Canis lupus familiaris: one gene and its partners. The protein of the gene in region 1 interacts with the protein of each later gene in a pairwise test. Links are inferred from orthologs where the notes say so. Each region holds a gene or a part of one and is shown on either strand. Other genes may lie near its edges.

Region 1 (4,008 bases):
ATGGTCATTGTGCTAATTTCCCCAGGGATTATCATTGACATCCATTCCAAAACTGGTGTGTGTCATGATCATAACACAGGGTGAGCCCAAATGCCCAGTGCTTTCCACTTACCATAACAAAGATCCGGAGGCTGTCCAAGTTCTGGAGACAGGGTAGGATGTGTGGGCCTGGCATGAAACTTTGTTCCACTCCTCACCATGGGCTGTAGTATACCTACAGCCACGTTCAGCACTGCCTGGTCTTACTTGTATGCTTTCCATCTCATCTGATTCATGGTGTGGCGGGGCTCCATGGTGAGAACACTATGTGGGTCAGGAGAGTCAGGAGACTGTGATGCTGGTCACTCAGTCACTTGCAGGGGTTTCTGAATGCCAATTTCTCTGAGCCTCAGTTTCCTTAACTGTAGAAGGAACAGGAAGTTCCTTTAAGGAAGTTATACTTCCTAGTCTGGTTGATTCGCATAACTTTGGTAGGGAGCAAATGAAATTAATGTAGATGATGCCCATATTCTGAGTACCAATGTGCTGTGCAATAGAGAAATAATAACTAACATCTTCAGCACACTTATGTGTGCTAGGCCCTGTTGTAGGCTGTCTACCTCTAGTGACTCATTTAGTTAAGTCTCACCCTGCGAGAGAGGTACTGGTAATGTCTCCATTTTACTGAGAAGCAAGCTGAGGCACAGAGAGGTTAAGTAATTTGTGGAGGTGAACAGGCAGCAATGGCACAGCCAGGGCTTAAGCCAGGCAATGAGGTGCCAGAGTCTGCTCTCAACTGCTATACAATCCTGCCTGAGAGCTATCAGCATTTTTTATTGTTTCTATTCCTTTTGCAGAGCTCGAGGGGGACATAGTCCCTGGTTTGTTGAGCACATCAAGCAGGGCCTCCCGTGGTCCACTGTGAGAGATGAACTGATGGCCATAAATTGTGCCCCAGCTGGCTCTCCATGGTCCAGAGACGTGCTGGGACACGGAGAGCTCAGATAATGAAAACTCACATATTGTTCAATAAGGAGCTAGAATAAGCGATCGGATCTTGTTTTGAGGAGTGTGCTGGCATTTGCCTCCCAATTGTTTGCTTTCAGGCCCACTCTGGGATAAAAGTGCTGCGGTGCCTAAGAGCCCAATAGGCAAGATGCCAGAGGGTTCAGAAGGAGCCGGCGAGGTTGTAACTCCAGTGGGCATGTTGACATGCTGGCATAACTCACAGCAACGCCAGCTGCTCTGCTAAACAGAAGAGCGGAGACGCTGTGTTTCTTCTGTGCATTCCAGGCAAACACTTGGAGAAGATCGTCAGAATCTTCGTCCCGGGTTGGCCCCGTGACCACTGAGCCAGCATCTCCCTTTGACAGATACACAGAGCGGCGACCTCTAAACCTAAGATGCTCTCCAAATGCAGTTCCAGCTGAGCCAGTGAGCTTTGCGTGTTGATGGTGCTGTTTTCTCTTTTCCTCCTAGGCAGCCAGGATTGCATACCACCTGCAGCGTCTTTTCGGAGGAGGCGGCTGGCACGGAGGCCGGGCTACATGAGAAGTGCAGCTGGGCCCCGGATCGGGTTCCTCTACCCAGCAGTGGCCGCTCCGTTCCAGGCCCAGGGAGGGGCGTGCGGTGAGGAGTCCCACCAGTCTGAGTCCAGGGCCGGACGGTGTGGCCTTGATTCTGGAGGCCAGTGGCGAGGCCCCTCGGTTGGGAGCCCTGTTCCTAGGAGCACAGCAGCCTCGGCTCCGACCTCTGGGGGCTACCTAGGCCTGGCTCTGACCCCTGTGAGAAGGCCCTCGGGGCTCTTTGGGATTCAGCTCAGAGCTGGCACCAAGCCACCTGCCAGGCCAGCCAGGTCGTGTGGCCCTGGGGACACTGGGTGGCAGGGGGAGCTCCCATCCATGGACAGTTCTGAGGCTCCAGGTCCTGGCCGGGATGCTGCTGGAGGCGGTACCTGGACAAAAGGCTGTCTGTCTCCAGAGGAGGCAAGTGGCAGCAGCTACAGCCTTGGAAGTGTCCCCAAGGCCCCCCCAACCCCTGCTGGCTCTCAGGATGCCTTTACGTCAAGCTTTAGCTTCATACGGCTCTCACTTGGCTCTGCTGGGGAACGTGGAGAAGCTGAAGGCTGCCTGCCATCCAGAGAGGCTGAGACCCCTTGTCAGAGCCCCAAGGAGGCGGAAGTGAAGGCTGCCAGCATGGACAGGCCCCACGAACATCCTCGACTCTTCTCTCCCCACTTCACTCTCAAGACTATTCCCAGCCTGGCGGACTCTGCCCAGACCACAGGGGGCAGCCACAGGCCGGAGTGTGACATGCTTTCTTTGTTGGACACGGACACTGCCTCCTCCTGCTCCCCAGGCCCCTGGCGGTCTGAGGGCAGCAGCCTGGGGGAGGCTCACCTTTGGGAGACGCTGCTCAGGAGGTGCGAGCCTGTGCTGCTGGACTGCCTGCTGAGCGACCGGAGGCAGCTGGAGGTTGGTGTCTCCCAGCCTCTGGGGGCCCGCGAGTGTCACGAGCTCAGGCCAGCTTTGGGCAGAAGGCAGGAAATGAGTAGTTCTGGGGTTGACCACCGACTTCCCTCTGGGAGCTGCAGCAGCTCCTTTTGTAACTGACGGCAAAAAGATGTTGCCGTAGTTCTGTTTCTTCTCTTTCTGTTTGCACACAAATCTGTTCTTGTTCTTGTCTTCTCTGTCACTTGAATGCTCAGATTTGCTCTGTGTTGAGCAGCAGGTTCCTCTGCAGTTCCTGGCCTACGTGATGTGTGGTTAGCTCTGCCCAGCTCTGCTTTGAAACAGGGAATTGGGGGCAGAGGCAGGGGAGCTGGGGCTGGCTGGCCTGTGGTTGAGTGGTGTGAAGATGGAGATTGACGCACCATATTGGGGGTGAGGCTGAGCTTCATTTGCATTTCCTGCAGCCCTTGCATTTCATCCTGCTCAGTGGGCCCTGCCTGACGCAGCCAGGAGACTTTGCTCCTGGTCATTACTTTGGTCAGGCTCTCAGTTTCCTTATTTAAAGATGGTAACCTTGCATGGGATTTTCTGTGGCTGCAGTGAGAAGCTAAGGGCTTTTGGAAGCTAGGGGGGGCTGTATACATGCAAACTCTGGCATCATGAGTGTGTTGTGCACCCTGTTATCAGAGAGGTGGTTACAACTGTGAATAGGCAGGGTTGTTCTACCTCCAAAAAATCCGAAGAGAAACCCAGCCTGAGATGCTTTGTGGCTGACCCATTGGGCTATGTGACTGCATTTTCCTTCTGTGTGCATATGATGTGTGTGTATGTGTGCTGACATTTGTACACATCCACAAGGAAGTAGAACAGCTACTCATCAGGCATTTGGTGGAAATACCTGAAAATGTGAAGGTCATGTTCATTCCAGCAATTGCATCTCATTTACTTTCAAATCTTTATGTGTGGCCTGATGTTCCTGGCCCTGTCCCTGTTTGCCCTGTGCCAGCCCTTGGGGACCCCAGCCATATGATTTATATCTCAAGGAGATTGTGAAGCCAGGCTGGATATGCAGACAGGGCTCTGTTCCCAGGTGATGCACAGAACCCTCTAGTTAGATGTGTTCAAAATTGATGTCATTGTCTTCCCCAGCAAACCTGTTCTAAAGGGCCCTAGTCTTGGTACATATATTTGTTGATTTTAATTAAGAGCATCCGTTCAGTTTTTTAGAGAAATTGCAAGCATCTTCAACACCTCTCTCATCCTCATAGTCCTGCAGCTAACCTCCCTCTCACAGCCGCAGCCTCTGCCCTGGTTCAAGTCCTTGTTATTTTTAACGTGGGTTTTGTAAGAGATTCTTGACATATTTGCCTTTCTCAGTGTCTCTTTTCCAGTTCATTCTCCGGATGGCCAGCAGAGTTATCTTCCGGAACACTGGTGGGATAGTGTTATTCCTTGGCTTGAAACCTTTGGTGGCTCATTGCTCTTCTCGGGATGGTATCCAAGTTCCTTATCCTGATAATTGAGACCTTTCCCAACCTGCTCCAGCCTGCCCCAATGCCTTACTCCTGCTGGCTCAGCC
Region 2 (3,696 bases), on another chromosome or scaffold:
TCCCATCCCTTTCTAAGGGTATCAACCACTGGATTTAAGGTGACCTAAATTCAGAATGATCTTAACTCAAGATTCTTAATTACATGAGCAAAGACATAGCCCAAATAAAATTTACAGCTATCATTAGTACTGGGATATGTCTTCTTTAAGATATAGTATTCAGCCAACTGCAGACCCTTACTTCATACTATATTCAAAAATGAACTCAAAATAAAGACCTAAATATAAGAGCTAACACTATAAAAATCTTAGAAGAGAACATAGGAGTAGATCTTTATATCTCAAATATGGCCGTGGATTCTGAGATACAACACCAAAAGCATGAAAACAAAACAAAAATAGATAAATAGGACTTCATCAAGAGTAAAAAAAACCTTTGTGCTTTAAAAGATACAATCAGAGGCACCTGGGTGGCTCAGTAGGGTAAGCATCTGCCTTTGGCTCAGGTCATGATCTCAGGATCCTGGGAATGAGCCCCACATCAGGCTTCTTGTTTGGTGAGGAGCCTGCTTCTCCATCTCCCTCTGCCTGCCACTCCCCCTGCTTGTGCTCTCTCTCTGTCAAGTAAATAAATAAAATCTTAAAAAAAAAATACAATCAAGAAAGCGAAAAGACAACTCACAGAAAGGGAAAAATATTTGCATATATCTGAGAAGGAACTTGTTACTAGAATATTCTAAGAACTCTTAAAACTCAATAATAAAAGGGCATTTTTATTTAAAATATGAGCAAAGGATCTCTATAGATATCTATTCAAAGGAGATCTACAAATGGGCAAAAATACGCCCATGAAAAGATGTTGAACATCATTTGGTATAAGAGAAATGCAAACCAAAACCACAATGATATATCACTTCATATAGGACATACTATGATGGCTGGAATTAAAAAAGCAGATAAGTATTGGTGAGGATATGGAGAATTAGAACCCTAATATAGTGCTGGCAGAAATGTAAAATGATACAACCATTTTACATTTTGGCAGTTTCTTAAATGATTAAACTTAGAGTTACCATATGACTCAATAATAGAACTCAATAATTCTGTTCCTAAGTACACATACACCCAAGAGGAATGAAAGCATAGTTCCACATAGAAACTTGTACATCAATGTTTATAGTAGCATTATTCATAACTGACAAAAGGTGGAAAAAGTCCAAGTATCCATCAACTATGAATCCATAAGAAATTGTGTTTTATCCATACAATGGAATATTAGTCCACCATAAAAAGAAATGAAATACTGATATATGCTGCATGAATGAGGCTTGAAAACATTATGCTAAGGTAAAGAAGCCAGTCACAAAAGACCACATTTTTTATTATTCCATTCATATGAAAAGGCAAAACTATAGAGATGGAAAGTACATTAGTGGTTGCTTCTGACTGAGAGAATAAAGGGATAGGAGGGTAATTGCTAAAGAGTACAGGGTTTCTTTTTTGAGGTCATGAAAATGTTCTAAATTGTAGAGATATTTATATATATTTGAGTATACTAAAAATATTGAGTTATACACTTTACATGAGTAAATGGTATAGAATGTGAATTATATCTCAATAACACTGTTTTTAAAAAGAGTCTATTGTGTAATTATCCACTGACTAGTATTTATGACTGACTTATCTCTGTTGAAGCCGGATGGGATGAAGGAATAGAGAAGGAAAGGAAAGAGAAGTGCTGAGATTTTGCTGTTTGGGTTATTGAATGAATGTCATTTCAAGCTTATTCAGAGAGCTACCAAATAGAGGTGATTCTTGATTATGAAGACAAGTAACTTGTGTGTACATTTTAATACACTATTTTCTGTTTAAATTTGCCTAACCACAATGGAATTTTTCTCTGAGTTTATAAATAAAATATAAAGGCTTGAATGTAATCTCTTTATCCCCCTTTTATACTTCAAAGGGAGTTTACACTGGGAGAGTACTTACTCTTCAAGAAATGTTGGTCCAAGTTGGGAAGTTAAATGCTGAAGCTGTTAGAGGTCAGTGGGCCAATCTTTCATGGGAATTGCTTTATGCCACAAACGATGATGAGGAACGATATAGTATACAAGCTCATCCACTACTTTTAAGAAACCTTACGGTACAAGCAGCTGATCCTCCCTTGGGATATCCAATTTATTCTTCAAAACCTCTCCACATACACTTGTATTAGAGCCCATTTTGACTTGTAAGTGTATTATCCTCAATTGAGATGTTTTTATTTTTTCATTCTAGAAGAGTAACAATGTTATTCCTTATAATTTCACTGAACTTCTCTTTTTCCTCCTACAAGTCAGATGCCTGGGAAAAGCAATCTGTGTAAAGTTGATTCTCTTAGCTATCTTAATGATTAAAAAAGCAAACAAACTTTGTCTAACATAAAAGTTAGAACTAGTTGGCCAATATTTGTGCCCTATGAACTGTAGTAGACTTTAGCAAATATGAAACATTTGTATAAGATTATGTAATGAGTTTCTTAATGTTTTCTTAAATATGTGATAGGTGACTTGCCTTACAGAAGTCAACAACAATGTTGACTTTTACTAGAAGATATACACACATATCAGTGTTTTCATGTAATGATAATGGGTCCTATTGAAAGTTGCATAATGTGTATATATTTATTCGAAATATTAAATTTTATAGTATTTTCAAACTGTGCTGTTTTAACGTTTAACATGGTCTGAGTGTCTTCATATGATCTATTCATTTTCTTTTCATATGCTTCAATTCATAAACCTTAAAAGCTTTTAATAAAACATCTTCCAATAAAATATTTTCCTTCCTTTCCCAGTATCCTTTTGATATATGTGAAAGGAAACGGGTTTACCTTGTTCATCAGAATTAAGTGTTTGGGTACAACATAATGAGTGACTGCTAGAGACCATTCTGTAGATGTGACTTCTTAAGAATTTCTTCTCAATTAAATATACTGTTTCTGGAGAATTACTTGACCCACTAGGACTAGTGGTTACTAGTGTCTTAGGTATCTAAAGGTAGAAAGAAAAATTTTCATAATACGAACAGAATTTTCATTCTTTTGCTGCTTATAGGTACAGAGGTTGATGGTTGCATGAGGAAGTGGGTAGGGGAGGATGAAATGGGTGAAGATCAAAATGTACAAACTTCGTTATAAATAAGTCATGGAGAGGCATGATACTATAGTTAATAATGCCATATCACTCGCCTGAAAGTTGCTAAGAGTATATCTTAAAAGTTCTCATCACAAAAAAAAAAAATTTATAACTCTGTATGGTGACAGATGTTAACTAGACTTACTGTGGTGATCATTTCAGAATAATATATACAAATATTCAATCATTATATATACCTAAAACTAATGTTATCTGTCAGTGATATTTCAATTTTTAAAAAATAGTAAGCATTTTCTAAATTCCATGTCCATTGTAGCCAATAAAAAATATTAAGCTATGGCTGCTTCCTGGTGCCTGGTGATTCAGTTGGTTAAGCATCCGACTCTTGATTTTGGCCACACACCACTGAAACTCAACCAAAATTTAAAAAGATGAAATAGACAATCCCAATATCTTATAACCATTAAATAAGTTGAATTTTTGGGATCCCTGGGTGGCGCAGCGGTTTAGCGCCTGCCTTTGGCCCAGGGTGCGATCCTGGAGACCCGGGATCGAATCCCACATCGGGCTCCCGGTGCATGGAGTCTGTTTCTCCCTCTGCCTGTGTCTCTGCCTC
Region 3 (4,008 bases), on another chromosome or scaffold:
CATCACTGGAAACTGACTGGGGTCTGGAAATCTTGGTTATTTATTGCTTTGGGTTAACTTTATGAATGATTTCTTGAAGTCTTCTAGATAATGTTCTCCAAGCTTTAAGGAAGAAGTCAAGCAAGGATTGAGAGGGCCTGGAGAGAAGTCTTTCTTAAATGACAGCAATGACAAGAGAAAATTGGGCCCACAGTGCTCTGAGACAAGAGGGTCTTGTTAAAGGGAAGGATGATACCTGGAAATGGGGAACCAGCTTCCAAGGAAGCAGCTCCTCTGTTTGGGAGACCTCCCACCTGCACTTTAGACAGTTACGTTATCATGAGACATCTGGACCCCAGGAAGCACTGAGCCGGCTCCGGGAGCTCTGTCGTCGTTGGCTGAGGCCAGAAGCACGTACCAAGGCCCAGATCCTGGAGCTGCTGGTCCTGGAGCAGTTCCTGAGCATCCTTCCTGGGGAGATTCGGACCTGGGTGCAGATCCATCGCCCTGGGAGCTGTGAGGAGGCCGTGGCTTTGGTAGAGGAGCTACAGAAAGACCTTGATGGACCAGCATTAAAAGTGAGAAAGGGGGAGGGGAGAGATTTGGGATGGAAGGAAGGAGAGAATTAAGGCAGGGTGAGCTGGGCTGGAGGCTGATCCTATAATTTTCATAAATAATTAGTAGCACATTAGCAACCCTAATGCTTATTACAGCAGGTTCACGAGCTATTTCAGATCATAGAATATCTGCAGAGAAATGGATTTATGATTGGTGTCTTGTTCCTAATTCAGAATTAGCAAAAAGGCATTGACTGCACTTTGTTCATCTGGTGATGCTTGCTAATGCTGAGTTTGGTTCAGTAACCTAAAGAACAGGGATCCCTGGGTGGCGCAGCGGTTTGGCGCCTGCCTTTGGCCCAGGGCGCGATCCTGGAGACCCGGGATCGAATCCCACATCGGGCTCCCGGTGCATGGAGCCTGCTTCTCCCTCTGCCTGTGTCTCTGCCTCTCTCTCTCTCTCTCTCTCTCTCTGTGACTATCATGAATAAATAATAAAATAAAATCTTTAAAAAAAAAAAAAAAACCTGAAGAACATAATGTTTCTAAGTGTTCCCCTAAAAAAAAAATAAGTGTTCCCCTAAACAGGAGCATATGTATTATTTGTATAAGTCTGTTAGGAGTGACGAGGTAAGCCTTGATTATAAAAGGCAGTGAGAAAACAGGACTAAAGCTCTCTAAATCTGGCAGGACCTCCCCATGTGTGCCCTAGGGCCAAGGGATTGGGTTGAGATACTTAATTTTAGAAAGATTTTATATCCTTGACCATTAAATTGGGATCTTAATATATTTCTCAGTGTGTGTATGAGATCTCTTTCTGTCAGTTTGTAGTCCACTAGAAACGTTATATGTAAGAAGTCTGAAACAAACTTAGGAGAGGCACCAAGGATGAGCTTGTTTATTTTAATCATAAAAATGAATTTTATTTATAAGAGATTTTATTTATTCATGAGATACTCAGAAAGAGAGGCAGAGACACAGGCAGAGGGAGAATCAGGCTTCCTGCAGGAAGCCCGATGTGGAACTCAATCCCAGGACCCCAGGATCATAACCTGAGCTGACAGCAGATGCTCAGCTGCTGAGCCCCCCAGGCATCCTCAAAATGAAGAATTTTAGAGCTATATAGTTCCTCACAAAGCTCTAATCCATCCTTATTTGAGAGATAGATAAATGGAGGCTGGATTGCCTTATGTCCGACATTTAGCTAGTAGCAAACATGTGTCTAGACTCTGGTATTCCTTCTGTTGAAGCAGGAAGGAATAATAAAGGGGTAGATAAGTAGAAGAGTATATTGAACCCAAGTCTGATCTAAAACCAGGTCTGAGGCTAAAATCTATACTCTTAATTATTACTGTAATTTCCCTTTCCCTCCTTAGCCCACACCCAGGTCTGGCTTCTGTTTCCATCATTTTGTTCAGTTTCAGTGGGAAAGGCCACCAGTGCCATGAATGGGCTACAGGGCCAGCTCCGTTGTTGTCAAGGCAAAGCTTTATTGCTGTTTTGATGTTCCATACTTGAGGTGGGTCTCTTATCTCACAGTTCTTGATTGTGGGCAGAAAGAGGTCCATAGTTGTCAGGTGAGTCTATTTTCTGTAAGTACAAGAAGAGTCAGCTTATTTATTTTGTTTTGCTTATTCCCAGGTTCCAGTTCTTGTTCAGGACCGGGACATTCTTCAGGAGGGGATGAGCACTTCAGGAACTGCAGTTCTTCATGTACCCACTGGCAGCCACATAACAACTGAAATTTGCCAAAATCCTTTTACTGACTCACTCGTGTTCAGTCTCCAGGATGCTCAACATGGTACTTAGCGATCCTGGCTTTGGACTTTGTCAGGGTCTTTATTATGGCTCATCCTCCTACTCACAGTTAGTTTCTTCCTCTCTTCCTGTCTTGTATATGAAACCCTTATGGTACCAAATTCTTTCTGTTGTTCCCCTGTCTGTCCTTTCCTGGATTCCTGTGACCTTTTATCCATTCTTACTGCTAATCTTCTATTATTCCAGTACTGTACCTGGGGGTCACTCAGAAAAAGGTTTGTAAGTCATTTTATGGCCACCATTGTCTAGTTCTGGAAGTTCTGGGTCTTTCTGAATTCCCTGTTTGTAGAAGAAACAATACTTGGAGTAGTGGTCAGGAACAGCAGTAATTTCACATGCAGCTTTTTCTCCTTCCTCAGATTCTCCTGCCCCTGAAGCTTCTGCCCTTTCCCAGGAAGAGAACCCAAGAAATCAGTTAATGGCCCTCATGCTCCTAACAGCCCAGCCCCAGGTAAGATTTGCATTCTCTTTCATTCCTAAGGCCCTCCCTGTACTACCAGACTGTGGCTTAGGTATCCTCTGTCATCCTAGTGTTTGGGGCCCAGTTAGTTCCTGTCTCTATCACAGTCCATGCAATTGGAAGGTAGACTTTATGTGGGGTCTCCTTGATAGCCCTTGCTCACTTCATGGCCTCATAATGTGTCCTTTTGCCAGGAATGTGAAAGGAACTTTTTGCTAGGGGAGCTCCTGGACATAGATAATCTCACACATACCTATTATTTCAGGAGTTGGTGATGTTTGAGGAGGTGTCTGTATGCTTCACTTCAGAGGAATGGGAGTGTCTGGGCCCGATTCAGAGGGCCTTGTACTGGGATGTGATGTTGGAGAATTATGGAAATGTGACCTCCCTAGGTAAGGACTCTTTCTTCCCATCAATTCTTACCTTTAATTCATCAGCCTTTGTTTTCTGACTATGAAATTAGTATATACTTGTTTTGGAAAACATAGAATATTAGAAGAAAATATAACTTAAACCCACACAAGTTTTTCCTGTATGAGTTTCTTTTTGTTGGCTACATAATTGTGCCGTAATTCAGCCATTTCCTTATTCTGGATAATTTCTGTAATAATCATCTTTCTCTATACCTAAAAGTCTTTATTTCTCATTATTTTTATTAGAAGCAGAGTTACTAGGCCTAAGTGTTTGAATTGTTTTAAGAAGGTTCTTCTGTCATACTGCCAAATTGCTTTCCTTGGTGATCTCTGTCCTCATGGAGAGGTACATAAGAACACTCCTTTTCTTCTGTCTTTATTGGTACTGTGTAGTCCCATTGTTTTAAATTGCTGCTGATATGATTTTTTTAAGTTGTAATATCTTTATTTTCTGGTAGATTTTTATGACTAGTAATAAAGTCAGAACACTTAAAAATATTTAGTAGCCATTTGTGCTTGCAACAAACATGAAAACATCTCTCATGTGGTGACAGCTGTGGAAATTATGTGAGTCTGCCCCTAAGTAGCTTATCATGGTTTGGTTGATGAGTATAGAAAGAATAAATAAGGCAGAGTAACATAATTAGTATAAGAATGTGATAAACCTTTTGAGATGGAAATGAAGAGGACAAAGCAACCAGTAGCATTCCTGACGTTAGGAAAGGCCATAAAGGAGGTATCTTTGTGTTATTAGACTTTGAAGAAAAAGGTAAGATTTTGT
Region 4 (4,693 bases), on another chromosome or scaffold:
GAGCAGATGAAACCTCCTTGATCTGTGTTCATCATCTTTCAGAGCACCAGGCTGGGGGGTTTGAGAGGGAGGGAAAAAAAGGAGGTGGAGGGGAGGGAGGGAGAGAAGAGACTTACAGAACAACATTATATTTAATAGGCAACATTTCACTCCATGTGAAATCATGTGTTAAATGATAAGACAGAGTATTAATTGTGTAGTTGAAAGATTTACCTTTCTCATTTATTGTGTCAGATACTTTGTCAGATGCTAGACATACACAAATGACTAAAGTACTTCCCAATCTTCCAGAAGTTGGGCAGACACAAAAGTAAAAACCTGACCTTGACAAAGTGACAGGTGCTACCCCAGGAGTAAAGAGGACAGTGTGGAGCACAGCAGGCCTCTACTGGTCTAGGGGTGGGCATCAGGAGAGGCTGCCTAGAGGTGACTCCTGACTGAGGGTTGTAGAATAAGTAGGTATGTCTAGGCAAAGGAAGGCTTCTTTCCTGAAGAATACAGAGGGCTTGTGAACACAGACAATGCACGTCCATAACCTGGTGAGTGGATAGCCAAGAAAAGGGATTGGTGTGTGTCCCTGGCTCAGGAATCTCCTAACACTTTCCTCGATGCATTGGGACTGCCTGGTTCCCAAGTGTATCCACTTCTTTCCTGGGTGAGACCTGTAGAGACCTGAGAACGATTGCCTCCTCTGATCCCGCACCAGGTAGATGTGCCCTGAATGAACGATTACGTGAAACAAGCCCTCTGGGTTTCCACGTCTCCCTTGTATGAGAGTGAAAATCAGCAGTGCCCACTCGGAACAGGCTCCAGAGGCAGGGTGGGTGGAAGTCGTGCATCGCAGCTCCTTGGGTGTGGGGCCAGGGGGGAAGGCAGAGTGGTGGAGGGAAGAGGTCTTCAGGCAGTGAGGGCTGCGAGGGGCCAAGGCACCGCCCTCCCGAGGGGGTTCGGGCTCTGGCTTGGTTGGGGCGCGGGGAAAGCAGGGGGGTCAGGGCCCTGCGGGTCACAGATCTCGGCCTTGGCTTCCCTTCTCCTGCCTTGACGCGGTCAGTCCCGGGACGCAAGAGGCCACCGCGCGGGGGTGGGGGCTGCGGCCGGGGTCCGCGCTGCCTGCGGAGGTGGGGGACGCGGGCCCCGCTTGGCGGGCGTGTGTCCGCGCGTTTGGAGGAAACAGCAGCGGAGGATGCGTCCAGCTTTGTGCTCTTCCTGCCCCATCCCCGCGCGGGACGGGGCTCGTCTGACACTTGGCCCCGAGGGGTCTCCGCGCGCAGCCGGCCCGGGCGGGACCCTTCGCCGGAACCAGGCGACCTCGCGGCCACTCCGGGACGGCCTCACGCTCCGAGGGCGCCCCCGCCCCCGCCCCCGCCCCCGGCCCCCGGCCCTGGGGTGAGTCTGGGGCCGGGCTCCGTCGCCCCCCGCGCCCGCTCGCCGCCCGGGTCCCGGAGGGCGGTGGAGCGAGGGCTTCCGGGCGGGGGTGGCGTCAGGTGGCCCGGCCAGGCCCCGCCCCCTCGGCCCGCCCTCCCTCCCCTGCGCACCGGCTCCGGGTCCCCGGCCTGGCGGCTGCGGCGTCTCCTCCGGGCGGCGACGGCAGCGGCGGCGCGAGCGGCCATGGAGGCGGGCGCCGGGGCGGGCGCGGGCGCCGCGGGCTGGAGCTGCCCCGGCCCAGGTCAGAGCCGCCCCTCCCTCACCTCTCCGCCGCCACTCCTTCCTCTTCTCCATCTCTCCTCCCTCCAGACCCCCACGTCCTCGCTCTCCCCCCTCTCCCTCCGCCGCTCCCACCTTTCCGTCCTGTCTTCCTCCCTCATCCTGCCCCTCACCCCGGGCCCGGTCTCCATCTTTCCGGGCTGGGTCTTCCCCACACCGGTCGCATCATCCCCTGGCGGTCTCTCGCCCTGCACCCCTCCACCCCGTCGGTCCGGCCCTGGGCCCCAGACCCTGCGCCCCCTCCGGCCGAAGGCTCGGAGCGCAGGGCGAGGATGGGGTGGATGGGTCCAGGCAGAGAACGGAGCGGAGGGGAGCGGCCCCGGCCCGGAACCCCTTGCCCCACGCATCCCCCCGCCCCGCATCCCCTCCTTCCCCTCCTTGCACCACCTCACCCTCTCAGCCTCTCTGCCCTGGCTCTCGCCCGTCTCCCTTCACAGCTAAAGAGACTGTGCTGGGAGAGGAGCCTGGAACTGGGGATGCCGGGGAGGTTGGGCAGCGCAGGGCGGGATCCCCGCAGGCCCAGCTCGAGGGGCGGCTGAGGGAGGAAAGTCGCAGCCGGGGCCGCGTGAGCCGAGCACTTCCACCTGGATTAAAAACTCTGGGGCTCCAGAGGGCTAGAAGGCACGTCCCCCTCTCCCTCCTGTGCACCCCAGCCCCCAGCCCCCTTAGTAGCCCACCGTGCCTCCTCTCTTCCTACCCACAGGACCCACAGTGACCACTTTAGGCTCCTATGAAGCATCTGAGGGTTGTGAGAGGAAGAAAGGCCAACGCTGGGGGTCCCTGGAGCGGCGGGGGATGCAAGCTATGGAGGGTGAGTTTTCCCAAAGAGCTTTCTTTCTCTCCCCTCAGCCAACTTCCCTTCCTTCCTCCTTACCCCATCTGGTCCCCAGAGCTCCCAGCCAGGACAGAGCCCTTCCTGTAGCTCACCTGAGCCCCCTCTACCCTTCAGGTCTGAAATCTACCCCTCCTCAGGGCTCAGGCTTTGAGGGAGGTTCTGGGTGCCTCCCTTTGGGGCCCTAATCACCAGCTAACCAGGTTGTGTGTCCCGGGGGGAGCTGCCAGACAGAGAAAGAGGCCTCGTTGGACAGAGCTTTGAAGCAGGCCTTTCAGCAGGGGGTTTGTTCTCACTGCCACCCGACCCAGATCCCAAGCTGTCTCATATTTTTGAAAAGCAGGGAAGTGAGCATGTGAAGTGAGCATTGTCCTTCTGGTGCCACCACCACTAACTTTGAATGTAAGCCTTTGTGGCTTTGGTTCTCTTAGGATCCCTTACAGCCTGAAAGAATTGCCTGGGAGGGGGCAGGTGAGAAGGCCAACCTCCCAACACTCATGTATCCCCACCGCACCCATGTTACTTGACAGTTGCTGCCAACACCAGACTCCTGGAAGGATGCTGATCCGTTTCCCAGGACTCCCTGTGAAGTGTTCCCAGGTCTCCACGCACACTGTGTGGGCAACCCTGCTCCTTTAAGGGGGACAGATGACACAAGGGGTCCCAGATGGACCTTAGGCTGCTGTCATGAGACCAGGGATTCAGAATTGTAAAACAAAGCAAATAATCAGTATCCTGACAAAATGTCGCTATTTCAAGGAACTGCATTGCAGCAAAGGAGGGGGTACTCACCAACCAGAGGCTGGGGACCAGTGCACCCCAGTTTCCTGATGCATTAAAATGGTAGGCTTTTTTTTACACACAAGTACAGCCTTGGAACTGAAACCTGAAGTTTCCTTCAGGTTTGGGGAGGGAAGTTAGGAGGAGGGAACTCATAACACTTGAGGAAGGGAGAGGCCTCCTAACAGCAGAGAAAAGGAAGTGGACTCTGCAGAAAATTTCAGAACAGCCATGTGATAGAATACATTTGAAAGGGCCTCAGTATTGGTCCAGTAAAACATTTAAAATCACTTCATTCAGATGTTTTCTTTTTCTAACTACCGATAGGCAACCCTTTCTTATTCTGGAAAAGCTAATTTCTTCCAAGCCACCTGGATAATTTTTTAACTTTGGACAAACCCCAGACTTTAACTCTTGTCCCATTTGGCCTAAAGACACGGCCAGCATCTGAATCCTTTCTTGAGTACTTGTCCCACTATGCAGAGACCACCAGGACTGCAAGAAGCATGTATCCTTGTGCAAGCTCACATAGCTAACCAGCACCCAGCTGCTCAGTTTGCCCGAAGTCAGTAGCAAGAGGCCACCTGGTACAATACTGGTCCAGGAAGGGCCTGGGTGGGGATGGGCTACCTCCAAACTTGACCCTTACACCTGAGGACTCATCACCGAGTGCAGGTCCTGCCGAGGGGGCTCCTTGGGGGACACCAGGTGGCACTATTATACCATCTCTGCCCTGGGACAATGAGCAGAAGGGCCCTTGAAGGACTCTGGAAAAGAAGTTGCCTCTGACCCCCTGGTGGGATGGGTTTCTCTCCTAGGGGAAGTGTTACTCCCAGCTCTCTATGAGGAGGAAGAGGAAGAAGAAGAGGTGGAAGAAGAGGAAGAGCAAGTGCAGAAAGGTGGCAGTGTGGGCTCCCTGTCTGTTAGCAAGCACCGGGGTCTGAGCCTCACAGAGACAGAGCTGGAAGAGCTGCGGGCTCAGGTGCTACAGCTGGTGGCAGAGCTGGAGGAGACCCGGGAACTGGCAGGGCAGCATGAGGATGACTCCCTGGAGCTGCAGGGTGAGTGCCTGGGAGGGGGCCAGAGGGTCTGGGCTCCCCGGATCCCAGGATCATGCCTGCTGCCTCTCTCACTGCAGGACTCCTGGAGGATGAACGGCTGGCCAGTGCCCAGCAGGCAGAGGTGTTCACCAAGCAAATCCAGCAGCTCCAAGGTAATTGCCAGCACTTGGACTGGATGGAACGTGGCCATCCAAGTACTTTTGTCCTGAGGGTTTGACTGTAGCATAGCAGACAAATATAAACTAATTCAGTACTTTCTCCTCATTTTCCCCTTACTATTCTCACCTTTTCCTCCTTCTCTCCCCATTCTCCTTTT
Region 5 (4,568 bases), on another chromosome or scaffold:
TATTTATTTATTCATGAAAGACAGACAGAGAGAGAGGCAGAGACACAGGCAGACGGAGAAGCAGGCTCCGTGCAGGGAGCCCGATGTGGGACTTGATCCCAGGTCTCCAGGCTCACGCCCTGGGCCAAAGGTGGTGCTAAACTGCTGAGCCACCCGGGCTGCCCCTCAGGTGTTTCTTTAAAGTCTTACACATGAAGAGAAAAATTTTAGATATAAAGAATTATTAGCAGAATTGTTGGTATTTTCTCTTCTTGCTAATAGCTAACTGACACTTTAATATACTTTATACCTTTTTAAATAAAAACCTGAAAAAAAAATATATACTTTATACTTTTTCCTAGCATGGAAATGTTCTTGACTATTTCTACTAGTCCTCTCAGTAATGTCTCAGAATTTCATACATCACTCTTTGAACATCACTAATAAGTAGATAAAACAGGCTTAGTGGTTTAAAATTATCCTACAGGTGCCTGAGCGGCTCAGGTGGTTAAGCAGCAGACTCTTGAATTTGGCTCAGGTCATGACTTCAGGGTCATAAATACAAGCCCTGTGTGGGTTTCCACACTGAGCCTAGAGCCTGCTTAAGATTCTCTCTCTCCCTCTGCCCCTCCCCCTGCTTACACGCTCTTTGTCTCTTGAAACAAACAAATAAATAAAATCTTTTTTTTTAAAGATTTTATTTATTTATTCATGAGAGAGAGAGAGAGAGAGGGAGAGACAGAGAGGGAGGCAGAGGCACAGACAGAGGGAGAAGGAGGCTCCATGCAGGGAGCCCAATGCGGGACTCAATCCTGGGTCTCCAGGATCATGCCCTGGGCTGAAGGCAGTGCTAAACTGCTGAGCCACCCAGGCTGCCCAATAAAATCTTTAAAGAAAAAAAAAAAAAAAAAATTACCCTAGAGTGAGGATTCTAGGGTGAAGAATCCAAGTCCTCTCTCAGCTCTTTTCCAGGTCTCAATTCTTACCATAAAATGTACAGAGAGAGTACATAATGTGACCTTGGTTAAGACCAGCCCCTTCCAACTGTCAGATGTTCCACTTGTTAAACTTCCATCTTTGATTCTGCACCAAAAATTATGTCTCTGGTGGACTGAATCTCTTTATACTTTAAAAGACAATTCATGGCATATTTTGTAAAGTTCAGCAAAATGCAATTATTTGGTAACCAGGAGTTACATTACTCATGTGGCTAGAAACACTAACCTATTCTTATAGCCTCTCTAACCAATGAGGAATTCTGCAAACTTTGACCTATAAAGTAATAACAATGTTATTAATAGACTGAAAATATCACCCTGACTGACCTTCCTTTTTCTTAGTTTGTAATCATTTAATTCTTCTTCATCTGTGATCTTCTGTTGAGGTGGAGGAGGAAGAAGCTCAAGTTCTCTTTCTTTAGCTTCTCTTAAGAGTTGCTCAGCAGTTATCTGTACCTCAGCTGGGGCTTTGTTTTTCACCTTTTAAGATAGAAGATATTCTCATTTTTAGTAGATGCTCATCACACAAAGTTTAGGAAGCAAAAAGACATTTTTTTAGGATGGGAACTTTGTATTATTACAAGATGCCCTCTTCATATGACAGGTTTTCATTTCTCTATGAAATTAAACAGAAAACAAAGTTTTCTTTCTTATGCATGGTATTTATTACAAAGCCATAGGTAAGTCTTCAGAGAAAAGGTAGCAAAAATAGCAAGTGTTCTCTTTTAGATTAGAATAATAATAAACCTTGAGGCTGCTCAGGTAAATTCTCACTAGAGGTGTTTTATGAAGATGTGTGCTGTATCTTTCCTAGTGTTACACTCTCTATTTACAGAACTTTTCAATTATGCCCCATGTGGATGATAATGCCTCAAACTGTGTTTGGTTGTTTTCATGGCATTTCAAATCAAAGACAGTTCAATAAATTCCCATAATTAGACAGACCATAAGTTTCTTGAAGTCTTAGAGCTGTGCTGTCCAACATAGTAGTCATGAGCTAATGCAGTGAGCCCAAATAGAGATGGACTGTAAGGGTAAAATATACACTAGATTTTGAAGACATAGTGTGAAATAAGCCAGTAAACTGCCTGATTAGATTTCCTATGTTGATTACATGTTCAATTAGCAATATATTGGATACAATGGATTAAAGAAAATATACAGTTAAAATTAATGTCACCTGTTTTGACTATTTAATGTAGCTACAGGAAAACTTAAAATTACATAATGTGGCTCACACTGTATATCTGTTGGACCACTGGTGCCCTGTAACATTTTATGGAATTGGATTATAAGAAATATTGTTTAATGCCATGTGTGGAATGACTTTGATAATAATGACTACAGCTCATATGCAGTCACAGATGCTGTGCTATGTGACTTAAACGGATATGTAAAGGACAAGCTCAAGAGAGCCACCTGGGCTGGAGAGACAGACTGGAGTGAGGGCGTCCGTAAAGGTTCAGGGTAAAGCCCGTCACACATTAAGCACTCAGTGAGTATCAGTCACCGATGGAACTATCATATAATACCAAACTTACTGTTTAATTAAATTAATGCCACTACACAACCCATGCCCTCTCATTCTTTCCAGGCTCAGGGGGCCTAACTCCTAGTCAGCCACCAGGTGTCGGCTTAAACATCACTTCCTCAGGAAAGCGGACTCGGCATACCCCTCATACAAACCCCATCACTCCGCGGCATATCCTACGCCGCCTCACTCGTATTCGGCAAGGTGGCAATTTCACATTGGCTCGTGTCATTTGTGAAAACGGCACATTGCCCGCGTTAGGTCGTAGTTCCTTCCCCAGCGCCTAGCGCGCTGCCTAAATCCTGCCGAATGACCCCACTCCTCCCTCCGCAAAAACACGCCCTAGAAAGAAGGCCGCGCCAACGCGGCGTGGGAAGGGAGCGTCTCCGGGGCGACAAAAGCCTGCGCCCCACCGCCTGCCAACCCTTCCACTCGATCCACACGGGGTAGGATGGCTCTAGGCAGTCTTCCGCCGCGGGCCCCGAGGAGGCTGGGGCAAGCCCCTCTCCGGGGCCTCCTCCCACAAAGCCCTTCGCGGTCTCCTACCTTCGCCACTTTGGGAATCCTCTGCTTCCCGGCAGCGGTGGAGGCCGCCATGGCTGCAGCACAAGACCGCGACTCAACCTGGACCCCAGAAATAGACCCCGAGGGCTGGACAGAATCCCAGGGATTTCCGACAACAAGCGAGATCCCAAAACAGGAAGCGGAAGTTGCTGGCATGACCTTTGACTTCACGCACGCGCCGTGACGCCGGCAACTTCGTTTCTGTGGTAACCGGGCTGAGCGTCCTCCTCGGAGAGCAGTGTCTCGGAGTTGCGGGAGAGGTGGGTAGTGCTGGCTCGCCCGACAGGGGCGCGGGGACGGAGTCCGGGGCGCCAGGGGCGCATCCCCAGGTCAGTCTCCGGAACTGGGAGGACTTGCGAGGATGGGTGGGTCGGTCGAACCGTGGCTCCGGGGAAGGGCAAAAGGAACAAAGCTCCGATCCGGAGGCTTGGGGTCGGGGCAGAGAGGTAGGCCAGAAAACTTCCTTTCCCAGCATGCCAAGGGGCGAGCTGCTGCGTTCCTAGGTGGCCTGGCGCCGCGTTGCGTTCTAGGTTTTGTAGTCTTGGAGGTCTCTTTTTTTTTTTTTTTTTTTTCTGGACAGTTGTGCACAAGTGAAGTAACTGAAGGCATCTTAAAGCCAAATAATAGAAAAAAATGAAAATAAATCATCAAAGTACTAGCAAATAAACCATCCTTGTGGTCAGATAAACAGATGCTTAATTTTTTGTAAATGTGCCTTAATTACATCAATTCTCTTAGCCCCATGGTGCTTAGCTGTGAGACAAAAAGAATAGTATCTATTTTATCATCATTAAGGAGAAAATCTATGTAAAGTGCTCCGTAAATGTTAGCTGGTGTAATTCTTGACCTATCTTCAAAAGAAAAAGCTAATTTTATGCAAGCAAATAGTGAAGAGAATTTTTTTTAAAAAGACTTTTTAAAATAGCAGTTTTAAGTTCACAGAAAAGTTGAATGAAGGTACAGAGAATTTCTGTTTCTCACACCTGCCGTCCCGTTTGCCCCCACAATCGATATTCCCCGTGAGAGTGGTACATTTTTGTAATTGATGAACCTACACTGACAGCTCATTATTCACAAGTTAACATTAGGGTTCACATTCTATGGAATTTAGTGACCTGTATCTACCATCATAGAATGGTAAAGAATAGTTTTTCCATCCTAAAAATCCTTTGTGCTCCATCTATTTATTCCTCCTTCTCCTTTTGCCTCCTATAACCACTGATTTTAAAAAATTTTTAGGGCTGCTTTTTTTCAGAATGTTGTGTCATTTGCATCGGTATGTAGCTTTTTTAGAGTGGTTTCTTTCACTTGTTATATGCATTTGGGCTTCCTCCCTGTCTTCGTGGTGTGATAGCTCACTGGTTAAGAAATTTTTACAATTGCAAGGCTCTTTTGGTATTCAGAAAAAATATTCATAAGTATAAATATATGTGTGTATTTTATGTATTTAAATCTATCTCCGTAAATAGTGCTATTGAGAAAACGTTAACTGAAGT
Region 6 (4,008 bases), on another chromosome or scaffold:
ATTTTTTATTTTTTATTTTTCTGATGCAAACACACGAGGGTTTATTAGCAAGCTCGAGCTTAGGTCCAAGTATGCCCGACACAGCGGAGCAGGGACTTGGGACCCATTTGGCAGGTTTATAAAAGTGCCAGAAGTGGTGGTTTTTATAACAGGATAGGATTAAAATATTAAGGAAGAGTTTAATGCTCTTTTAAAATTGCAGAAAGGTTGGGCAGATGATTGTAGCTTTGATGTGTAGTTGAGAAGACTTGATTTGGTGATGGTCTGATGGGCTTATTTTTATTTTGAAGATATTATTATACCTGGTAGTAAATTAGCTTTGTTTATCTAAAGAACTATTGTACATTTCTGTAATTTGAATAGATATTTTTAATATTCTGTATCTCTCTTATTTTTAAATGGTCTTCTTTAAACATTTAATTTATAGACTAAAAAATTCAACAGTATGTATCTTTCCCTTACCATTATTAATAAATGTTCCACTTTTTAGTGCCAACACATTGGAAAACTATTTTTATTCTTATACTTCTTAAATGACTTTTTTTTTTTTTTTCTCTGTTTTCTTTAAGCCATAAGGATGAGTTTACCATTATTCCTGTACTGGTTGGAGCTCTGAGTGAGTCAAAAGAACAGGAATTCGGAAAACTCTTCAGTAAATATCTAGCGGATCCTAGTAATCTCTTTGTGGTTTCTTCTGATTTCTGCCATTGGGGTAAGTTCTAGATTTTAACATATCATGATAGATACTATATACTTGTGGTTAATGGTATCTTTTCACTCTAAGCTCTGATTTTCAGTTCTTTACCATTTTCCTTGGAAAGTTTTAGCTGCAATGTTTAAAAGTGAATAAAAAAGTCTTTTAAAAAGGATCAGATTATTATAGTAGATTATGGATACATTTCCAAAGGCGACTGGTATAATTGGATTCACACTGTGAGGGCATCCTTGCTTTAGCTACTTACATTAGTGGGAGTTAAGATCTTTTAACCCCTATTTCCAGGTTGAGTTGTGTGGTAGATTCTCGGAAGTTAGTTTTTGGTAGATAAAACCAATGTTCTTCTTTAGAAGGTAGAAGAGCACTGTGTGCTATGCCAGTCCTTTTCCACATTTCTTTTTCTGTAATTAGTGTTTTTTCTTTCTATTTTTCCTTTGGTGCTTAATTTTTGCCATCAGTTTAGAGGTACCCTCCAAAGAGTGTAATATGTTGGCTGTTAGCATTGTGGTTTTCACTGGTAATGGCTAATACGAGTAAGAACTCTTATGTGATTTTTGTTATTATTGTGAATAAAAAAAGTAAGGAGACTTCACAGTGAATAAATCATAAAAAGACATTTGTGGATGCCTCTTTCAGTAAGTTTTATTTTTTGAATCTTTGAATACAGTTTGCTATCCTTTATCCATTGCTGTTCTGGATAGAGTATTTCTGATTCCTATTCCTTTTAGGACCTCTCTCATTGGCCTGAGGATGCCAGTTATCTGTTCATCCTTTAGTTATTTCTTTTATTATTGAGAAAACATAAGGCACAAGTCTGTACATTTTAAGATAGAGTACTTGAATTGCCAGAAAAACATCCTCTGTGAGATACAGGGAGCCCTGGCTTTTATATGTCTTAAGCATTGATTATCAAATCTGGCTCACTATTTTTCTGGCCTCATTAGGCTGGTATTTTCTCTTACCTTGCTCTCTGAGTGGCTTTGAAATCATTTTTAAGAGAGCCATCCTCCCTTATAGATACGTATTTTGGTTTAAGGCACTAATTTCTCATCTGGGGCTGATTGTCTTATGAGGGGGCATTTGGAAATGCCTGGAGACATTTTTGGTCATTACCTTGGGATGGGGGTGGGAAGCGGGGAGGCTTTAGGCATCAATTTAGTGGAGTACAGAAAAGCTGCCAAATAAACATCCTTCAGTACACAGAACAGCCTTCCTCATCAAAGAATTATCCTGCCCAAAACACGTAGTGCTAAGGTTGGGAAGTCCTGGTTTAGGCTGTGCTACCTTACCTAAGAGACTCTCAAGTTTCTTTATAATAATCAGTTCTATTGGCTAGTTGGTTTGCTACCTTTGGCAGAAGTTATTTTTTATGGATTTTAAGTATATTACTTAGATCTGAGGACTAGATAGATGCTTGGAAATTCTGATGTTTAGTCGTAGTTGATCTTAAAAACTAAGGAGTATCATTATTGAAAAAAGGATATTTTTCTTAGTGTTGTGAATTTGTGTTGATAATAAAGCATGTCCACATGTCTTAGAAATTAAAAATTCTTGAAGTGTGTGTCCCCTCCCTCTTCACTTTTAAGGCTCCCATGAATCACTTTAAATTACTTTTATGATCTAGAGAATTAGTTCCCCTGATATTGTTCTTTAGAATCTGGTTGGTATCATGTGCAATCACAGTATAAATCCACACAAAAATCAGTAGATGCTTTTCTCTTAAATCATTCTTTTTACCTCATTAATGAATTCTAAAGCAAACAAGCTCTAGTCCACTACTGTATTTAAGTATAATATTGAGAGAGAAAGATGAGTTTTTATATTCTACCTAGATTCTTAGAAAATTATTTAGGCCATTTGATCTCCAGTGTTCTAGAAAATTCTGGTGTTTAAATTTGTAAGCTAGGATTTCCTGGTGATAACTACAGATGATAACTCAAAATTTCCAAAGGTTGGTAGATGTTAGTTATGAGAATTATCCAGAGATTAAACATATTTATATTTACATTTGGTCGTTAAGTAATAGAACTTTTCCAAGTGCTTATATTTTTTAGTATCACTAACAATACTCATAAAGTGCTTAGTTTGTACTTTGGAAAGCACTGTACTAATTCTTATTAGGAAATTTGATAAAGATCTGGGGATAAGTGGAAGGTACTTATAGATACTATTAGATACTATTCCAAGATTGGTAGTTCCCCTTCTACAATAGTAACTGTCATTCTTGTAAAGTAAGATTCATTTTCTATTTTATATGCCTAGTTGAATTAATACGAATCTTCGGCTAGTTATGGGTTAAAATGTCTTAGAAATTTTCATATTTCTCAAATTACGTGCTCTGGTGGCTTTGGTCATCTTTTCTAAATTAATGAATGATATACATCCATTTCAAAAATCTAGCTTTTTCTTGTGAGGATATTTCTTAATGGTTTTTTTCTTCTTCTTCTTCTGTTTTTTTGTTTGTTTTTGTGGGTTTTTTTTTTTTTTTGTTTGTTTTGTTTTGTTTTTTGGTAAAGATACTGTATAGATTGATTTTACCATATCAAAGTAATGTTAACCCTGAATTCTAAATAATTTCACAGGAAGGATTTAGTTCCTTAAATACTCAGAGATCTTAAAAGTTCCATTGAGTTATACTGTCAAACACACTATTACATTTGTAATAGCTAATTTTTGAAGAAAAATTGCTTAATTGATTATGGTACAGTTGACAAATTACTCAGATACATATAGAGGAATTTTGTTTTTGTTGAATAGAGTACTGGCAGTGACAGCATTTTTCATTTCTAGTCATTGTTTCTATTATGTACAGCTTCTGTTTAAAATAAACCAAGAGATTTGGTGATAGAGACAGTTGGGAGACCTATTATGTGATTGGAAAGGTTTTGCCTGGTTGATTTTACTTGTTAGCCAATGTCTGTTACAAGAGTGACTTTTTTTGTGTGTATGCTTTGCTTTAAAGATGTTCATCTTTCAGATCCCATTTAAATTTTGTGTGGACTTGAAAAAGACATTAGAGAAAAAGTAGAAAGACTAAAACATTCTCAAATTTTCTTTTTGGGTGGGAAAAGCCAAGGGAGAGTGGAGACCTAGATTCTATTATGCTCTTTCTGTCCCTTATTTGAATCCCCTACTCCCCCCAGAAAAAAACCTTCACCATTTCAATTTCTGCCTTTTATTCTATCCTTAGTCTAATCCACATGAAAATTCATTAGTCAGCCCAAAAGGGTGATGTTTCCTAGTAACAGTTCATGATCCTACCTCATTTCACCCTTCCCACTACTACCAGGGAT
Region 7 (3,877 bases), on another chromosome or scaffold:
TAGTGTATGGAAAACAACACACCCCAGGATGCCTGAGTGGCTCAGTGCTTGAGCAACTGCCTTCAGCCCACATCAGGCTCCCTGCATGGAGCCTGCTTCTCTGCCTAGGTCTCAGCCTCTCTCTCATGAATAAATATCTTAAAAAGAAAAAAAAAAAAGCAGGGCCCTCACACTGCAACCTCAACCATTCTGAACACATATGCAAACGGTTTCCTAATAATAGCACATTTTTCTGACAAACACATCAAGGAAGCGTGGACTATGCAGTCTACTTGTCCTGCTCTGTACTGGAAAACGCAGGCCTCCAGCCATCTGAGCCCAGAGCCAGGCCTCACCTTGATGGGAATGCACGCATGGTCCTCCTCCAGGTCCTTCAGACAGATCTCCAGGTGCAGCTCCCCAGCCCCCGCGATGATGTGCTCCCCGGACTCCTCAATGATGCACTGCAATGGGCCAGGAGTTAGGCTCTGGGCACGGACCCCAAGACACTCAGAGACCCCAATAAATTCTAGGAACAGGTATAAAGCTCCAGGTTTCCCTCCAGATAGAGAAGACCAGACCCACCAGAAATGGGTTTTGTGGCAACTCAGGGCTCGTAAAAGGCAGCAAGAGCTGTGTTTTTGCTATTCTCGTTAACCTCACAATCTGCTCCACAGCCAAACCATAAAAATAGAACTGGTATACAAAGAATTAACTAGATTTCTCAGAAAAAAGCCACCACCTTGTCACACAGTAGCTCTGCCAGGGAAAGTGTATGCTCAGCACACACCAGACTTTCCAAGATTTGAATATCCGTAAATCTGTGACAAGCCCTATGTAAGCCACAAATTAACCACTTGCACCGCGGTGTTCCCATCTGCCAGGGCACCCACCTACCTGCACCATGGGGTCCGACTTGGCCAGCCGTTTCAGACCCTCCACTAGCTTGGGAAGGTCAGCTGGATTCTTTGCCTCCACAGCAACCCGGACAACGGGGCTCACGCTGAACTTCATCACCCTCATGTTGTGGGCATGCTCAAAGGTGGTGATGGTGCCAGTCTTCACCAGGAACTGGTCCACTCCCACTAGACCCACAATGTTCCCACAAGGCACATCTTCAATAGGCTCAACATAACGGCCCATCATCAGGATTGTTCTAGGGAAGACAAAAAAAACCCTCCAGATCCCGAAATGACCCCAAAACACCCCTTCCTTCTAAAGCCTGTGGCCATCCCATCCACCTGAAATGCTGATGTGAACCCAACTCCCAGAGCCTCAGGCCCTAGCCCTAGTTTCACCTTATCAGCCCAGTTCCTGTGACAATAAGTCCCAGCTCTCTTACCCCAAAGCAGAAGCCACCTGCTCCTCCCCGACTCCCCTATGTAGGGCTCCACACCCAACCTAGCACTGATAGGACTGTCACGGGAACCTGAGAACCAATGAAAATCAGGGCTGCAAGAAGCTGGAGAGATGGAAGTTCACTCTTCCCACTACCCACACCAGGAGCCAGGGAATGGTGACTACCACTAGCCTCTCGAGACGGCTCTGCAGATGCGTGCCACCACCCTGACCTTAGGGCCAGGTCTGTCCAAGTCAGAACTAGCGCAGTGCGCCTCACCCAGACAAATCACTCCCTCCCTCAGCTTCAAGGGTCCTCCACCCTTCTCTGGACCACATTATGTCTTGTCACCCTCCCTGTGGAAAGAGATAATCTTGGATATGGACCAGACTGGGACGTACCCAGGAGCTGCTGGGCACCTCACCTCTGGATGGGCTTCAGGTACAGGTCCTCCTTCTTCCCAGGGGTGTAGTTGGGCCCCATGATCCTGACTTTCAGGCCAGTGGACACCAGCCCCGAGAATACACGACCAAAGGCGTAGAACCGACCTTTGTCGGAGGTTGGCACCATTTTAGAAATGTACATCATGAGAGGGCCTTTGGGGTCACAGCTTTTAATGCCTGTGAAGAGGAATTCCCAAAACAAAACATGTGATTCCCTCAGAGCTCACCCTCACAGAACCCTGTGACCTGGACTTGCCAATGAGCATCACCACCTGACCACAGCCACAAAAATACTTAGGCCTCTGCCCAACAATCTAACCCCAGGACGCAGGTGATCCTCACATACCCATGGCTGCCTCGTCGTCTGGGGGGCCCTCATACAAGAGCTCACAGCGGTATTTCTGGGCTGTCACAGGGGAAGGCAGATGGATGGTGATCATCTGCAGCAAAGCATCCCCGGCAGGTAGCCAGCGGCGCATCACAGCCTACAGGAGAAGACAGGGAGGTCAAGCAAGGCCCAAAGCCCTCAGAATGCCATGCCCAAGGTCCTGGTGAGAGGCACTTAGATTCTGAGCTGCCCCTCCTGGGGAGGTGCCAACAACACAGATCCCCTGACCACCCTGTTGGTGATGGGGACATGACTGGAAGATATGACAAAGAGCTCCAGTCAGTGCAAAGCTGGTAGGCCCACCCCAAGAGGCACATCCGCATTCACCTTCAGAAGTGGTTTGCCTTCCTTATCTTTGTCTTCACTGTCCAGCTTGATGTCCAGCTTTTCAATCAGCTTTGCGGTCTCCTCTTTCTTGAAATTCATGATCGCATCAAACACCTGACAAGTCACAAAAACAGGAAGATGGGGGATCCCTGGGTGGCGCAGCGGTTTGGTGCCTGCCTTTGGCCCAGGGCGCGATCCTGGAGACCCGGGATCGAATCCCACATCGGGCTCCCGGTGCATGGAGCCTGCTTCTCCCTCTGCCTGTGTCTCTGCCTCTCTCTCTCTCTCTCTCTCTCTGTGACTATCATAAATAAATAAAAATTTAAAAAAAAAAAAAAAAAAAAAAAAAAAAAAAAAAAAAACAGGAAGATGGGTTCAGGAATGTTACTGGAAATGTGCAGCTGCTTCCTACCAGGCAAACCTCACCCTCCTCCAGCACCCACCTGTCAACCCAGCTCTGCCCAGCCAGTTAGGTCAGGTAACAGATCCTCCGGGAGCCACCAGGCCCAAGGACAGCCCAGGGGACGCACATCCATGAAGCACACTCAGCAGCTCACCTTGAAAATAGGGTCCAAGATGAGCTGGCAAAACGTCCGCGGTAGCTTCTTGCCGTCAGGGCTGGTGGCTGACTTGCTGAATTTGCCGTTGGCTGGATCAAAATACCTGGCAGAGGAGTACAGGAGTATTTCACCAACTCAACGATGGTAGATGGGTTGGAGAAACAGGAGACCCAAGTGAGTGAGGAAACCAAGCTGGGCAGAAGGACCCTACAGACGTTTGGTGGCCCTTAGTCATGTTCCCACCACTGCAGGCAGGTCCCTGCCCCGGCACACAGGTACCAGAGTGCCCTGCACCTCCCCCAGTACTCACCGGTCACCCCACAGCTTCTTCATCATGTCCTCCACTTTCTTGGCCCGCTCAGCAGGCCCCAGCTGGCCCTCGCCCTTGGCAGCAAATTTGGCCACATACATCTCTGCAAACTGCTTCAAGGTAAAGGCCCAACCGTGGAGTCCAGACCCAAAGCCAACGGTCCCAAGTACAGGGTCGATCTGTGAGGGTCAGAGAACACTATGAGCGGAAGTAAACAGCTGTACAGAAAGCACAAGAGTCCCTGGGCACCATGGGCCTCAGACGTCAGTTTTCTTCAACAGCCATCAGGTCAAAGTGAAGAAATTTTAGTCATCACTTACAAGGCCCAACTCTACGCCATCCCCTCTGGAGGAGCAAGGAAAAGGTGTGCATAAACTTGGTGAGCACAGACAGCAAGCAGAACCCACTACCCCACAGCTCCCCCCCCCACCCCAAGTGCCAGATGAAATAGCTACAAAAATGATCCAGGCCCCTTGTCACTCTACAGGTCCTGGCAAACCTTTCAGAAGTGCTATCAATAGTCCCCAAGAT

The links.
Region 2: the proteins of DISC1 (region 1) and PCNX4 interact in a two-hybrid assay, tested with the Homo sapiens proteins (2 studies listed by BioGRID and IntAct). The link is inferred for Canis lupus familiaris from reciprocal best matches to the Homo sapiens genes DISC1 and PCNX4.
Region 3: the proteins of DISC1 (region 1) and ZNF197 interact in a two-hybrid assay, tested with the Homo sapiens proteins (2 studies listed by BioGRID and IntAct). The link is inferred for Canis lupus familiaris from reciprocal best matches to the Homo sapiens genes DISC1 and ZNF197.
Region 4: the proteins of DISC1 (region 1) and CCDC136 interact in a two-hybrid assay, tested with the Homo sapiens proteins (2 studies listed by BioGRID and IntAct). The link is inferred for Canis lupus familiaris from reciprocal best matches to the Homo sapiens genes DISC1 and CCDC136.
Region 5: the proteins of DISC1 (region 1) and CRNKL1 interact in a two-hybrid assay, tested with the Homo sapiens proteins (2 studies listed by IntAct). The link is inferred for Canis lupus familiaris from reciprocal best matches to the Homo sapiens genes DISC1 and CRNKL1.
Region 6: the proteins of DISC1 (region 1) and MEMO1 interact in a two-hybrid assay, tested with the Homo sapiens proteins (2 studies listed by BioGRID and IntAct). The link is inferred for Canis lupus familiaris from reciprocal best matches to the Homo sapiens genes DISC1 and MEMO1.
Region 7: the proteins of DISC1 (region 1) and EEF2 interact in a two-hybrid assay, tested with the Homo sapiens proteins (2 studies listed by BioGRID and IntAct). The link is inferred for Canis lupus familiaris from reciprocal best matches to the Homo sapiens genes DISC1 and EEF2.

The regions. Positions count from the first base shown.
Region 1 is NC_049225.1:8,197,715-8,201,722, reverse strand, and holds part of DISC1 (disrupted in schizophrenia 1 protein), read left to right. Parts: intron 1-1,458; coding exon 1,459-2,453; intron 2,454-4,008. UniProt on the Homo sapiens protein: Involved in the regulation of multiple aspects of embryonic and adult neurogenesis. Required for neural progenitor proliferation in the ventrical/subventrical zone during embryonic brain development and in the adult dentate gyrus of the hippocampus.
Region 2 is NC_049229.1:35,527,620-35,531,315, forward strand, and holds the end of PCNX4 (pecanex-like protein 4), read left to right. Parts: intron 1-1,906; coding exon 1,907-2,158; 3' UTR 2,159-2,773; downstream 2,774-3,696.
Region 3 is NC_049241.1:87,662-91,669, reverse strand, and holds part of ZNF197 (zinc finger protein 197), read left to right. Parts: intron 1-79; 5' UTR 80-158; coding exon 159-557; intron 558-2,177; coding exon 2,178-2,337; intron 2,338-2,713; coding exon 2,714-2,805; intron 2,806-3,079; coding exon 3,080-3,206; intron 3,207-4,008. UniProt on the Homo sapiens protein: May be involved in transcriptional regulation.
Region 4 is NC_049235.1:7,706,364-7,711,056, reverse strand, and holds the start of CCDC136 (coiled-coil domain-containing protein 136), read left to right. Parts: upstream 1-1,588; 5' UTR 1,589-1,608; coding exon 1,609-1,666; intron 1,667-2,407; coding exon 2,408-2,515; intron 2,516-4,134; coding exon 4,135-4,377; intron 4,378-4,454; coding exon 4,455-4,529; intron 4,530-4,693. UniProt on the Homo sapiens protein: May play a role in acrosome formation in spermatogenesis and in fertilization.
Region 5 is NC_049245.1:3,678,458-3,683,025, reverse strand, and holds the start of CRNKL1 (crooked neck-like protein 1), read right to left. Parts: upstream 3,233-4,568; 5' UTR 3,229-3,232; coding exon 3,055-3,228; intron 1,458-3,054; coding exon 1,305-1,457; intron 1-1,304. UniProt on the Homo sapiens protein: Involved in pre-mRNA splicing process. As a component of the minor spliceosome, involved in the splicing of U12-type introns in pre-mRNAs.
Region 6 is NC_049238.1:25,285,963-25,289,970, reverse strand, and holds part of MEMO1 (protein MEMO1), read left to right. Parts: intron 1-569; coding exon 570-712; intron 713-4,008. UniProt on the Homo sapiens protein: May control cell migration by relaying extracellular chemotactic signals to the microtubule cytoskeleton. Mediator of ERBB2 signaling.
Region 7 is NC_049241.1:55,976,814-55,980,690, reverse strand, and holds part of EEF2 (elongation factor 2), read right to left. Parts: intron 3,667-3,877; exon of another isoform or gene 3,602-3,666; intron 3,526-3,601; coding exon 3,347-3,525; intron 3,140-3,346; coding exon 3,034-3,139; intron 2,591-3,033; coding exon 2,477-2,590; intron 2,247-2,476; coding exon 2,108-2,246; intron 1,939-2,107; coding exon 1,743-1,938; intron 1,136-1,742; coding exon 877-1,135; intron 444-876; coding exon 336-443; intron 1-335. UniProt on the Homo sapiens protein: Catalyzes the GTP-dependent ribosomal translocation step during translation elongation.